3 linked regions of the Ovis aries genome follow. The protein of the gene in region 3 interacts with the protein of the main gene of each other region in a pairwise test. Links are inferred from orthologs where the notes say so. Each region holds a gene or a part of one and is shown on either strand. Other genes may lie near its edges.

Region 1 (3,652 bases), on a different chromosome or scaffold from region 3:
GCTTTCATATTCTTAAAAATTATTGAGGATATCCCAAAGCGTTTGTTTGCTAGGCTGTATCTGTCAATATTTATTGCATTAGAAATCACAGCTGTGAACATCAAAAATATTGATTTACAAATTCATTTAAATAACAATATTTATTGTATTAGAAATACAATATCTACATTTATAAACATTTATTGCATTAGAATCTATTTTATATTTATCAGTATTCATTGTATTAGAAATTACAACTGAGAACATTCAAAAATATTTATTTACTAATTCATTTAAACAACAATAAATCTATTCTGTCAGTATAAGCGACAATTTAATACAAAATTACCACATTTGTCAAAATGAAAAATTAGTGAAAAGTGGGAATGTTTACACTTTCTGCAAATATTTTTAATGCTGGCTTAATAGAAGACAGCAGGACTCTCCACTGTACTTTCCACATTCCATCAGCCGTGAAAGCAATTACACCGTCACACGGCACATGGCTTCACTGGAAATCTCCACTGTGCACTTGGGAAAGAATGAGAGTGAAAAAGGCAATGATGTCTTCATATTACCATGAAAATGCTTCAACATCAAAGATGCTCCCAGAACACACATCGAGAAAATGGACCTAAAGATTAATGAAAAGCAAAACTAGAAGCAAAAAAAAAACAAAAACGGATTAGTCAAGATAGAGCAAAAGCTGCCTTTAAAAAAAGTGAGTGAAAGTGAAGTCATTCAATCGTGTCCAACTCTTTGCAACCCATGGACTGTAGCTCACCAAGCTCCTCTGTCCATGGGATTCTCCAGGCAAGGATACTGGAGTGGGTTGCCATTTCCTTCTCCAAGGGATCTTCCCAAACCAGGGATCGAACCCAGGTCTCCCGCATTGCAGGCAGACGCTTTAACCTCTCAACCACCAGGGAAGCCCTAAAAAAGAAAGAAAGAAAGAAAGCTCAAGAAAAACATTGTATAGTGGATAAACTGCTGCACAGTTATACTGATTTATTCAGTGTTTACTAATTCAAAATTCGTCGTGGTTTCGTTAACAGCCAAACTGAAGGTCATCTTTGCTTAGGCTGAAAGTGAAAATGAAAGTGTTAGTCGCTCAGCCGTGTTTCGATTCTTTTTGATCCCATGGACTGTAGCTCTCCAGGCTCCTCTGTCCATGGGATTCTTCAGACAAGAATAGTGGAGTGGGTTGCCATTCCCTTCTCCAGGGGATCTTCCCGACCTGCTTAGGTCAGTAGTTCTCAAAGCATGACCCTGGGGCCAGGAGCATCAGTGAGACCCCAAGATCTTCCTGGAGATGCAAATCCCCAGGCCCCACCTCACACCTGCTGAATCAGAGACTCTGGGGTGGTCCCTGCAATCTGCATTTTCATAGCTGAGGCTGATAAATGCTAAAGTTTGAGAACCACACTGGCTTAGATAATCCTTCCTTCTTTCTGGAGAAAAGATGACAGAGAGAATTTTCAGTCCCATGAGAACAGTATTTTTCTAAGAGCCATTAAAAATAATAGGATCCTTGTCTTGCAAACAATACTTAATACTGATTAGAGATTCACAAAAGAAAGTCTTCTAAGGACATCTTTGAGCAACAAATCAGCTCAGTTTAAGTTATTATGACAAATATAAAAATAAACATATACATTTTTCTGACTCAGATTAGCCTTCTAATAATTAATAAAGTTGCACTACAGATATTTTAAGACAGGCCTACAAAACCGGAATAGAGCAGATGTGCTCTGGCTTGTGAGGATTATCACTACCAAGACAGGCTTCCAGCTGTCTGCCAAAAAAGCCATCTGAACTGCAAATACAAAATACAGGTTCTCCAAACACATTGATACGAGGCTCTCATGTTGTTCTTAACGATTGTTAATAGATATATTTGGTGATCATTTTGCAAGACATACAAATATTGAATCTTTATGCTGTACACCTAAAACTAGTGGAGTATGCTATCTCAGTAAAAATGTTTGTAACTTTACAAAATTACTGTGTGCTACAATGTAGGTTTTGCCTTGTAAACCAAATATGCAGCTGTATTATCTATTTTACTGCTGAACAGGCAGACATGGCATGAAAAGGCTGAGATCCCACTCAGAAATTCTTTTCTCAGAGGAAGCTTCGGATGATCGGTCATGTATGCATGCCTGCATGTGGGCTGTTGCTTCAGTCGTGTCTGACTTTTTGCGACACTATGGACTGCAGCTCACCGGGTTCCTAGGTACCCACAAAATTCCCACATTCATTTGCAACTCTACCAATATAATCGCAAGAGGCCAGGAATGGCTGTTCTTTAATGGGAGTATCTGAGACCCAAAGAAACTCGTCCAAAACTGTGGCACCTTCTCCACTGTTTCTCTCTTTTTGGTTAATTCTCTCCGCCAACAAATTAGGGTATGGGCCACGCCCAAATACGCCTCAGCAGACTATTAGAAACTCCTGAAATTCTGCCTTAGAGATTCTGAATTTGTGATAATACCTTGGCCACATCTGACTGTATTACATCCTCTAAGATCTCCTTGAGTTGAGCTATCTCACATTTAGGGACGCAATTTTGCTCCTCACTCCTTGCAACCTGCTGCTGACGTGTTGTGTTTTCATTTTTTACTTTGTCAATCTGCTGCTGGAGTTCTGCATTCTTAGCTTTTTCACTGTCGGATAGGAATTTCACCTTCTGAACCTGAGTGACCAATTTCTCGAGTTTAGATTTCAGATTCTCTCTTTCATCCAGGTGTATCCTTTCACGTTTCTGAAATTCCTCCCGTAAAGACAGGAACTCTCTTCCGGTCTCTCTCTCCCTTTTCAACGAGTCCAGAGCGGCACTGGTGGCCTTTTCCAGCTCTCCTTTGAGCTGCTGCAGGCTTTCTATCTCTTCTTCTTTCTTGCTCAAGGTGCTGCCCATCTCCATGCAATGAGTCATGTACCTTTCCTGCAGACTAACATAATTGCCCTTGAGTTTCTTAAACTCTGCCTGTAAGGTTTCCTTCTCACTCCTGCATTCCTGAAGGTGGTTTTGGGTGGTAACTAAAATCTCGTGCAAACTCCGTAGTGTCTTCTCTGTATCACTCTTCTCCAGCTTTATTCTGTACTTTTCTTCAATTAGCTCTTCGACCTTCTCCTTTAGCTTATTGATGATGTCCACAAACACGTGCTGTTTAGTCGCATTCATCTGTAGTTCCTCAACCTTCTTCTCTAAATACGTGTTCTGACGCTCTAGGTCTTGGATCCGAGTTTCCTTTTCTTTGTTAGTACATTTTAATTTCCGTACAACTTCATTTAAAGCCATGTCCTGTTCCAGAGGTTGTAAGCTTTCCAAGCTCTGCTCTGAGTCAGGTATCACGCAGGCCTCCTGAGATGCTCCACCGCTCCAACACATGCCTGTAGGAGCCCAAGTTGAGCCCGTCTGTGGCCTCCACCCGCCTTTTTCTGGGACTTCCTTTTGGTGCCTGACTGACATCTCAGGAATATCCATAGAATTCTGTACTCCTTTGGAAGAACCTGCAATCTGTAAATTAGAGTAAATAAAATAAGTCTGAAATAGTAGAAAGATCATGAGCTTTGAGGTCAAAGAGAGCTGCCCTAATCCCTAAATTTGGTTTTCTCAGCTCTGAAATAACAGGGAGGATGTGTACGTCCAACACTAATATCTAATTAAGAA
Region 2 (3,652 bases), on a different chromosome or scaffold from region 3:
TTATTAAAAAAAAAAAAAAGTTTTCTTTTTTAAAGAGGAAAAGGATGAGTATGAGCTTTCCTAGTTCTAATGCCTGGCACACAAGATGTGCACACACACACAAAACCACGTGTGATGGTGCCTCACAGCTGGGAGATCCAGTGAGTGTCACCAGCATTCTGGTGAGTTTTCAGTCAGCTCCTAAGGGCCAGAGGCTGAGCTGATGTTGGCAGCCAGGCCCTGCTTGCTGGGTAGGTTTTCAGTCTTACCCATTGCAGGTATAGGAGAGACTCCAGGCACCCACCGAGATCCACTCTCCCCTTCTTTCTTGGCATCTAGCTGCGTACATTCTCCAGGTGAGCCGTGTGACCGAGTTTTAGCCAATGGAAGTGAGGGAAGGGAGATGGGCCCTTTCCGGGTCAAGGTGTTGCTCGTAGAGTCTCACCTCTGGGCCCCTCCTCTTCTGCCCCTTCAACCATCAGCGTACAAACACAACGTGACTAGGGGACCACGGAGCCCCGAGAAGGAGGAAATCTGGGTTCCCGAGGGATGGCGTGGAAAACAGTCAGTGCTCTAGACTGATTATCCACCCAGGATTGACTGGTGAGGAGGAAGTACATTTGTGTTCAACTACTGACATCGGGAAACCTGTTGTCACAACTTACGCTCCCTAACACACAAGGCCTGCACATTTATTGTACCAACAGGCTAGATCCCACTCACTCAGACTCATTCATTTCCTGTGATAAAAAAAAAAGCAGAGCTCAGCCTCTTCTAGACAACTGATTGTGGCTTATGATCCAGGAAAAATGGGCTAATAAAAATCATAGGGGAATAAAAGTCATCAGTGAGAACTGGGAACACATAATTAATTCTAAAAACAAACTAATGCCTTTAACGGAGTTGATTTAGGTTTCATTTGCAGTTTTCCGTGAGATTGGTGATCTTTTTCTCTCTTTTTAACTAGAGTTAGCAGAGTAAGGAAACTTTTATTCAGTTGTACTTGGGGGAAACATTTGGGAAAAGTATTCAACGACTCAGGAATACTGACAGATGGCCTCAGAGACCTTCTGACCCATGTCCTCCTTTTCAGACAAGAGGTTCAGACACAGGACCTTGCCAGAGCCTACAGATGGCGCCCTCAGGGCCAGCGGTCACCCCTCTTGGCTGCCAAAGCCTGTACCTTCTACTGCAGTAGGGCTCTCATTGGGGCGAAGCGGAAAGCAGCGCAGTCACATTGGAGAACACAGGCTCTTTGAAATCAAACGCACTTGTGTTCACAGCTCACTACACCATGCACCAGCTCTGTGACCCTGGGCGAGTTCCTTACCCTTTCGGAGCCTTGAGACCTCTTTAGAAATTAGAGATAAGGACTTCTCCAATTATTCACTCATTTGCATGTTCACTCAACATTTAAAGATGAGTATTATTTGCCAAGAATGGTGATAAGCTCTCGAGTGCTCGAGTGATGCCGCAGTGGTGAGTGGTGGATATACAAGAGAGACAAGACCTCCAGTTTCATGAAGCTAACGTTTGAGTAACTGTGAGCTGGTTGTGAAAAACTCTAGACAGAGCGTGCTGACCATCAGCCATTCACCAATGGCTACGTTGTTCACATTCTTTCAGGACCCCCTCACCTGCCTGGTTGTTCTGGATACTTTTGCTTGGTGTAGGCCTCGAGGGTGGCATAGACCTTCTCTCGCAGAGTCTCTACCTCAGACGGGTTGGAGAGACCCTTCGCATCTGAAAAAGACAGCTGATTAAACCTCTGGTTACGCACCTCTGTGGAACACCCTGATACAGAGGCTGTCCCCATGCATATAGGCCACCTCCTGTCGAGTTACTAGAGACACACTGGACGAGGGGCACTGTGAAATACACAGAGCTGGTGCTTTGTGCCTGCCAATCTACCCAATAAACTCTTGAAGCAAAGGTACCCAGCGCTGACTCCAAGGAGGAGAGTTTCCTTTTATCTGGGCCATTGTGCATATACGACCTTTACACATTTATTGAGTGTTTGCTCTGTGCTAAGCATGGGCTGAATGAAAAGACAGGGAACAAAGCCCAGACGCAGCCAGGCCCTGCTTCCACTAACTGATCACCTGACTCAAGAGACGAAGTGTGTGCATCGGTCACTGTGTAGTTCTGAACACTCATCTTTCCGGACCCATGGCGGCCTCTGGTGGAAGCTGAGCTCTCGCTCCTCCTCGCAGTGCTTTTCCTCCTTGAGACCCCAGGACGTCATTCTCTGGTTCTTCCCTGTCTCACCCACTGCTCCCTCGCAGGCACCTTGGCTGTTTCTTCCTTTTCTGCACAACTTCTAAATGTGGCCATGCCCCCGGACCCAGTCCTCAGCCCTCTGCTCTGCTTCTGCTTCCTCCCTGGATGAGTTCGCACCAGCCTCCCTATACTTTCCACGCTAGGTATAGGCTGACAGCTCTCAAATGTGCATCTCTGGTCCTGCCTCTCCTCTGAACTCCAGAGTCACATGAATAATTGCTTCCTGGACAGCCGCTCTTGGACATCTACATCCATCTCAGAGTTTCATGTCCAAACACCTGCTTCCTAGCCACCCACCCTTAGAACCTCCGCTTCAGTCAATGAAAACTGTTTTCCAATTGTTCAGGAAAACAAAAATATTTAATGCCTCTCTTTCATATCCTAGGTACAATCTATCAGCAAAATCCCATAAGTTCCGCCAAAAAATATATGCAGAACCTGACTACTATTTTTTTCGTCTCGCATGGAAGTAGTTTACTTGAGGCAGTGACCAAGGGAAGAGGAGGGAGGGACCGGAAAAGAAAAAGCAGGGAAGGAAGAAAAGGCAACACAAGAGCACATGACTGGACTGATCACGGCCATGGGCAACCGGGACTCAGTCTCACAGGGACCCTCTTAGGAGGCATGTGGAATGGGCCGCAGAATTGTCCACTAGGGAAGGAAGATGGAAGCACTTATTTACTCACTAGCTTCTGTCAGCCCCTGGAGAACCTGACCATTTTTTACCACCTCCTTTACTATCCTAGGCCTCTATCATCTCCCACCTTCCCTACTGACCCCCAATGTGCACACTCCACGCCCATTTGAGACACTTTTCAAGATGCCTCAAGGAGCAGAGGCCATGCAGAGGCAACTCTGTCCTCCCCACGGACAGGTCTCCTGGCCCTGCCTTCTCCCCTCTCTGTCTCAGCCGAGCTAGAGGGCCAAATAACATCAGAGCGCTGGGGGCTGACCAGGGAGGAGGACAAAGATGCTGTCACCTGGGTTAAACAGCACGATGGCTCGCAGGCACCCCAGCTCTGACTTATCCATCTGCATGTCCTTCATTTTGGAGACCAGCTCAGTCAGAACTCTGTTCACAGGAAACAATGACAGGTAATGAGAAAATCACGAGCAGCAGACCAAAGGCTGATAAAAGGAATGCAATCAGTATTTATTATGGACCCACCCCGCCCACGTTTTCCAGTCAATGGGCCAGGTACTAGGGGCACAGAGATGAATCAGGTGCAGTCCCTGATCTCAAGGAGCTCTCAGTTTAATCAAAGCAACAGACACAGAAACAGCACATAGCAACAATGCCAAGGCAGTGACCGACATAATCAGAGTCCCAGGAAGAGGCAGGGAACTCAGAGAGGGGGCTGCAAAAGCAGCCGAGAGGTTTTGGAAATTGGTA
Region 3 (3,652 bases):
ATTAGGTGAATATCTGAACCTCTCTGTTGTCAGCCACAAAATGCAGGCAACCCCATGAGGGCTCTAAAGATCTAACAGCAAATTATGGTCGACTGTACATACTCTGGAAAGGTGCAGCATTACCCAGACACGGAGGATTCCTCTGAGCCGTACTTGGAACCACAGATAACCCATCTGTTTGGTGAAGCATATATCTTTTATTCTCCAAGTCATTAGCGACTTTCTAATACCCTGATGGCTAATTTTTTTAAGTTCACAAGTGATACTTACATATGTACATGTGGCGGCTGGAACCTGCTCTGGTTGATGTTGTAGTGCGTGAATGCCTGGGTGGGATTGGAGCTGTACTCATCCACCGTGATGGTAACTTTGCCTTGAGAAGGAATCCCATGTGCCATCCTTCCTCTCTATAGGCATGAGCAATTCACAACTTTCCAGAGCGAAGGATGGAAGTGGGCATGGTGTGTTTCAGCCAACCTCTGAACCCAAGGATCTACTCATCAATACTGCTCTGCGTTTCTGGAAAAAAACAAAACAAACAAAAAAAATGAGGACAAAGAAAAAGAGGATGTTCTAAACAATGTCAGATGTGACACCTGGATGTGAAACTGGCTCAGGAAAAATCTTAATCTGTGTGGTCGCTTCGTGGACAAAACCTTTCCCAACTCTCCATCCAGCACGTACTTCAGAATGGACATGACACTCCAAATGACACGGCTGGCTGCTAGCAAACCATTTCAATGGTGTTCAAACTAAGATTTCCTCTTTAATTATAATTATGCCACTTAACGTGAATTACGGAAGGGCACATCCACAGTTGCCATGGTGTCTAACTATAAATGGTTGGAGCTCGAAGTGGAGAGTCTTCCAAACCTTCCCTGCTAATTGGAATGTTTGGTCTGTACAAAGTTGGTGTCACAGAATAATTTGAAACCTCGGTGCTTAGCACAGCCATAAAACACAATGTCAAATGTAAATTTAAAATGCTGTGTTCATCACAGATACCTGTGTGTAACTATGATGTACACATAATATATGCACACATCACATATAATTTTTCAGTGGTTCCAAAATACATAGGCACTAAAAGCATGGTATACATATGGATTCCACTCCAGCCAAGAACTTTATGTTAACCCAAATCCTTCTTGCTACATGTAACGTAGTTTCTTAAAACCATCCAGTTACTCAAGGGAAAGGTGAACACATCCAGGCTTGGATCACCATTTTGGATGCATTCATTACCAGCCTCTTAAAGACCAGAAGGAGCAGTAAAGAAGGGTGGCCATTGAATCTACCGCTTCACTCCTGCTTGCAAGTCGCTTAGTCATGTCTGACTATTTGTACCCATACGGACTATACAGTCCATGGCATTCTCCAGGCCAAAATACTGGAGTGGCTAGCCTTTCCCTTCTCCAGGGGATCTTCCCAACCCAGGGATCAAACCCAGGTCTCCTGAATCATAGGCAGATTCTTTACCAGCTGAGCTACAAGGGAACCCCTCACTCCTGCTTGGTGCTGCAATAATTCTCAGTAGCTGGTTTCATCCTTTAAAATCTTTTTCAGCTCATTTTGATTATTTGTATAAAAGACACTATATTATTTCTTGCGCTGGGTTCAGAAATGAGGATGTTTATTTTTATAGCAGTGCGCAAAGACTGAGCAGAGCCCATCACTGCCTCTAAGCTGTTGCAATTGATCAGGGAAGTTTTAAAGAAAGGGACAGCATGCTCCTTGGATACCCTTGGGTTAACCCACACTCTCTAACTTTAAGCGCTCTGCATTACAATACTTTCACCATGTGCACCATTAAGTTCTGGGAATCTTAGATGCTATCTCAAATAAAAATATTTAGAATAATAAGATTAGATTTAAATTTGGCATGAAACACCTTAAATATCAAGCAAAAGGCAGATGGCTTGCCATAGGCCATTTATTTTATTATTTTACAACCCAGGGCTTGTGTAGTCCTCCATATGCTAGCTGAGTGAAGAAATTCCACAGCCTTCTACTCAAATCATTGCCTTCTTCATATTAGCAAAGCAAGCTAAATAACACCCACCTTGCCTATGTTCGTAACACACAATGGGGCTGCCAAGACATGAATTCCTCCTGCTCTGGCATTTTAAACAAAGTGTCATTTTGGGTTCTCTTTCTTCTTCCTGACTTCATGGGAGGTATGAGTCCTCTAAGCACTGGCTGACAGACAACCAGGCCAGTAGGATTAACGAAATTAAAATCTTTGCCTGCTTCTCTGATGTAAGATATCTATAAGAACTGCTTACAAATCATAATGTAGCAGTTTTCATACCAAGTTTGCAGCTGTTTCCTTAATTTCCCCCACAATTATATTTTACTGTTATTTTGCATAACAGTAAAACACAACACCTGCTTCAAATTGCAGTCCTGTTCTAAGTACTGTAATTCTCTTTTGAGACACAAAGTACCGAGACACGAATGAAGCGCAAAACTGCATAATTGCGACATGCTGAAAAGTAAATACAAATGAAAACATCTTCCTGTTATAGAAATGACTGTCATTAAAAAGAATGTTAGCCATCAAAGCACAGAGGGGGAAAAATACACATTTTCAGACTGGAGAACTTAGTGTTTGCATAAATTAGAGAGTGGTGTAAAAATTACATGGCAATTCTTACGTTCCTGCCATCAATGTCCATTGTGTGAAATACAGAACATTAAGAAGCAAAGGAAATAAAATTCATGTCTAGACCACTGTGACCTCTCTGTAACAATCTCTGCACCCGGAGCCAGAAACAGTTTAAATGTTCCTGGAGTAAACTCACTAATTAAACTCAGCAAAATGGCCTAGAAATGAAAGATACATACCTATTATGTAAATATCTAGGTAATGACCTACAGTAGTTAGCATTAGACCCTCCCATTTGAAGTCCAGAAAAGAACTTAGAAGGTGATCAATTTGCACTCTTATATGGTCCACTATATCCTACAGTCAACATGGGATTGCCTTTTCTATCAAGTGAGATCTGTGCCTCTTTGCACCTTTGCTCCAGTAAGACAAATAGAACATCTTTTCATCAGCAAGCACAGGCCCCTGTAACTCAAAAGGGTAAACGGGTGGCTGGCACCTCATTTGAATTCATCTTTACCATGTTCTCTTTCAAATGTTTTATCGAAACAGTGCACCTGCAGCGTCTATCTTCTTTAATCTGGAGTCCTTTGAAGAAAATGTCAGACTGAGGCAGAGAGCTTCAAAACTTTCACAGGAACCTTTACAGACAAGTCAAGAAAAAGCTTATTTTTTAAAAATGCTATGTTCACCTCCATTCACATCACAGGATAATCATATCTCAAGAATATGAAACACCAACACATGGGAAAAGCATTTTTTTTTTATTGTAAACTCCCTCCTCTAATCTGAGAAACCTGGAAAAAGCTTGAAACAAGACAGAATGATACACTGCCTCAAACTACTAAGAATCTGCATCCCCTTGCTTCATACAGGCAGTAAAACCCTCCAAATGATAAGATTTTGGAGCACCTCATCCTCATCACACACATTATTTTTTATGTATAATATTTAAAGAAAGCAGTACTCTTTTTTAAATTTCCATTTTTACACTTCAATACATATGCTTTACAAAACAAAGGAACCCAGTGCTAAATGCCAGCA

Evidence for each region.
Region 1: the proteins of MPPED2 (region 3) and CAGE1 interact in binary tests that used the Homo sapiens proteins (3 or more experiments, as listed by UniProt). The two-hybrid records come from large-scale screens. The link is inferred for Ovis aries from reciprocal best matches to the Homo sapiens genes MPPED2 and CAGE1.
Region 2: the proteins of MPPED2 (region 3) and RXRG interact in binary tests that used the Homo sapiens proteins (3 or more experiments, as listed by UniProt). The two-hybrid records come from large-scale screens. The link is inferred for Ovis aries from reciprocal best matches to the Homo sapiens genes MPPED2 and RXRG.

What each region holds. Positions count from the first base shown.
Region 1 is NC_056073.1:47,139,661-47,143,312, reverse strand, and holds part of CAGE1 (cancer-associated gene 1 protein), read right to left. Parts: intron 3,500-3,652; coding exon 2,474-3,499; intron 1-2,473.
Region 2 is NC_056054.1:117,398,090-117,401,741, forward strand, and holds part of RXRG (retinoic acid receptor RXR-gamma), read right to left. Parts: intron 3,332-3,652; coding exon 3,240-3,331; intron 1,723-3,239; coding exon 1,617-1,722; intron 1-1,616. UniProt on the Homo sapiens protein: Receptor for retinoic acid. Retinoic acid receptors bind as heterodimers to their target response elements in response to their ligands, all-trans or 9-cis retinoic acid, and regulate gene expression in various biological processes.
Region 3 is NC_056068.1:60,184,230-60,187,881, forward strand, and holds part of MPPED2 (metallophosphoesterase MPPED2), read right to left. Parts: intron 520-3,652; 5' UTR 399-519; coding exon 271-398; intron 1-270. UniProt on the Homo sapiens protein: Displays low metallophosphoesterase activity (in vitro). May play a role in the development of the nervous system.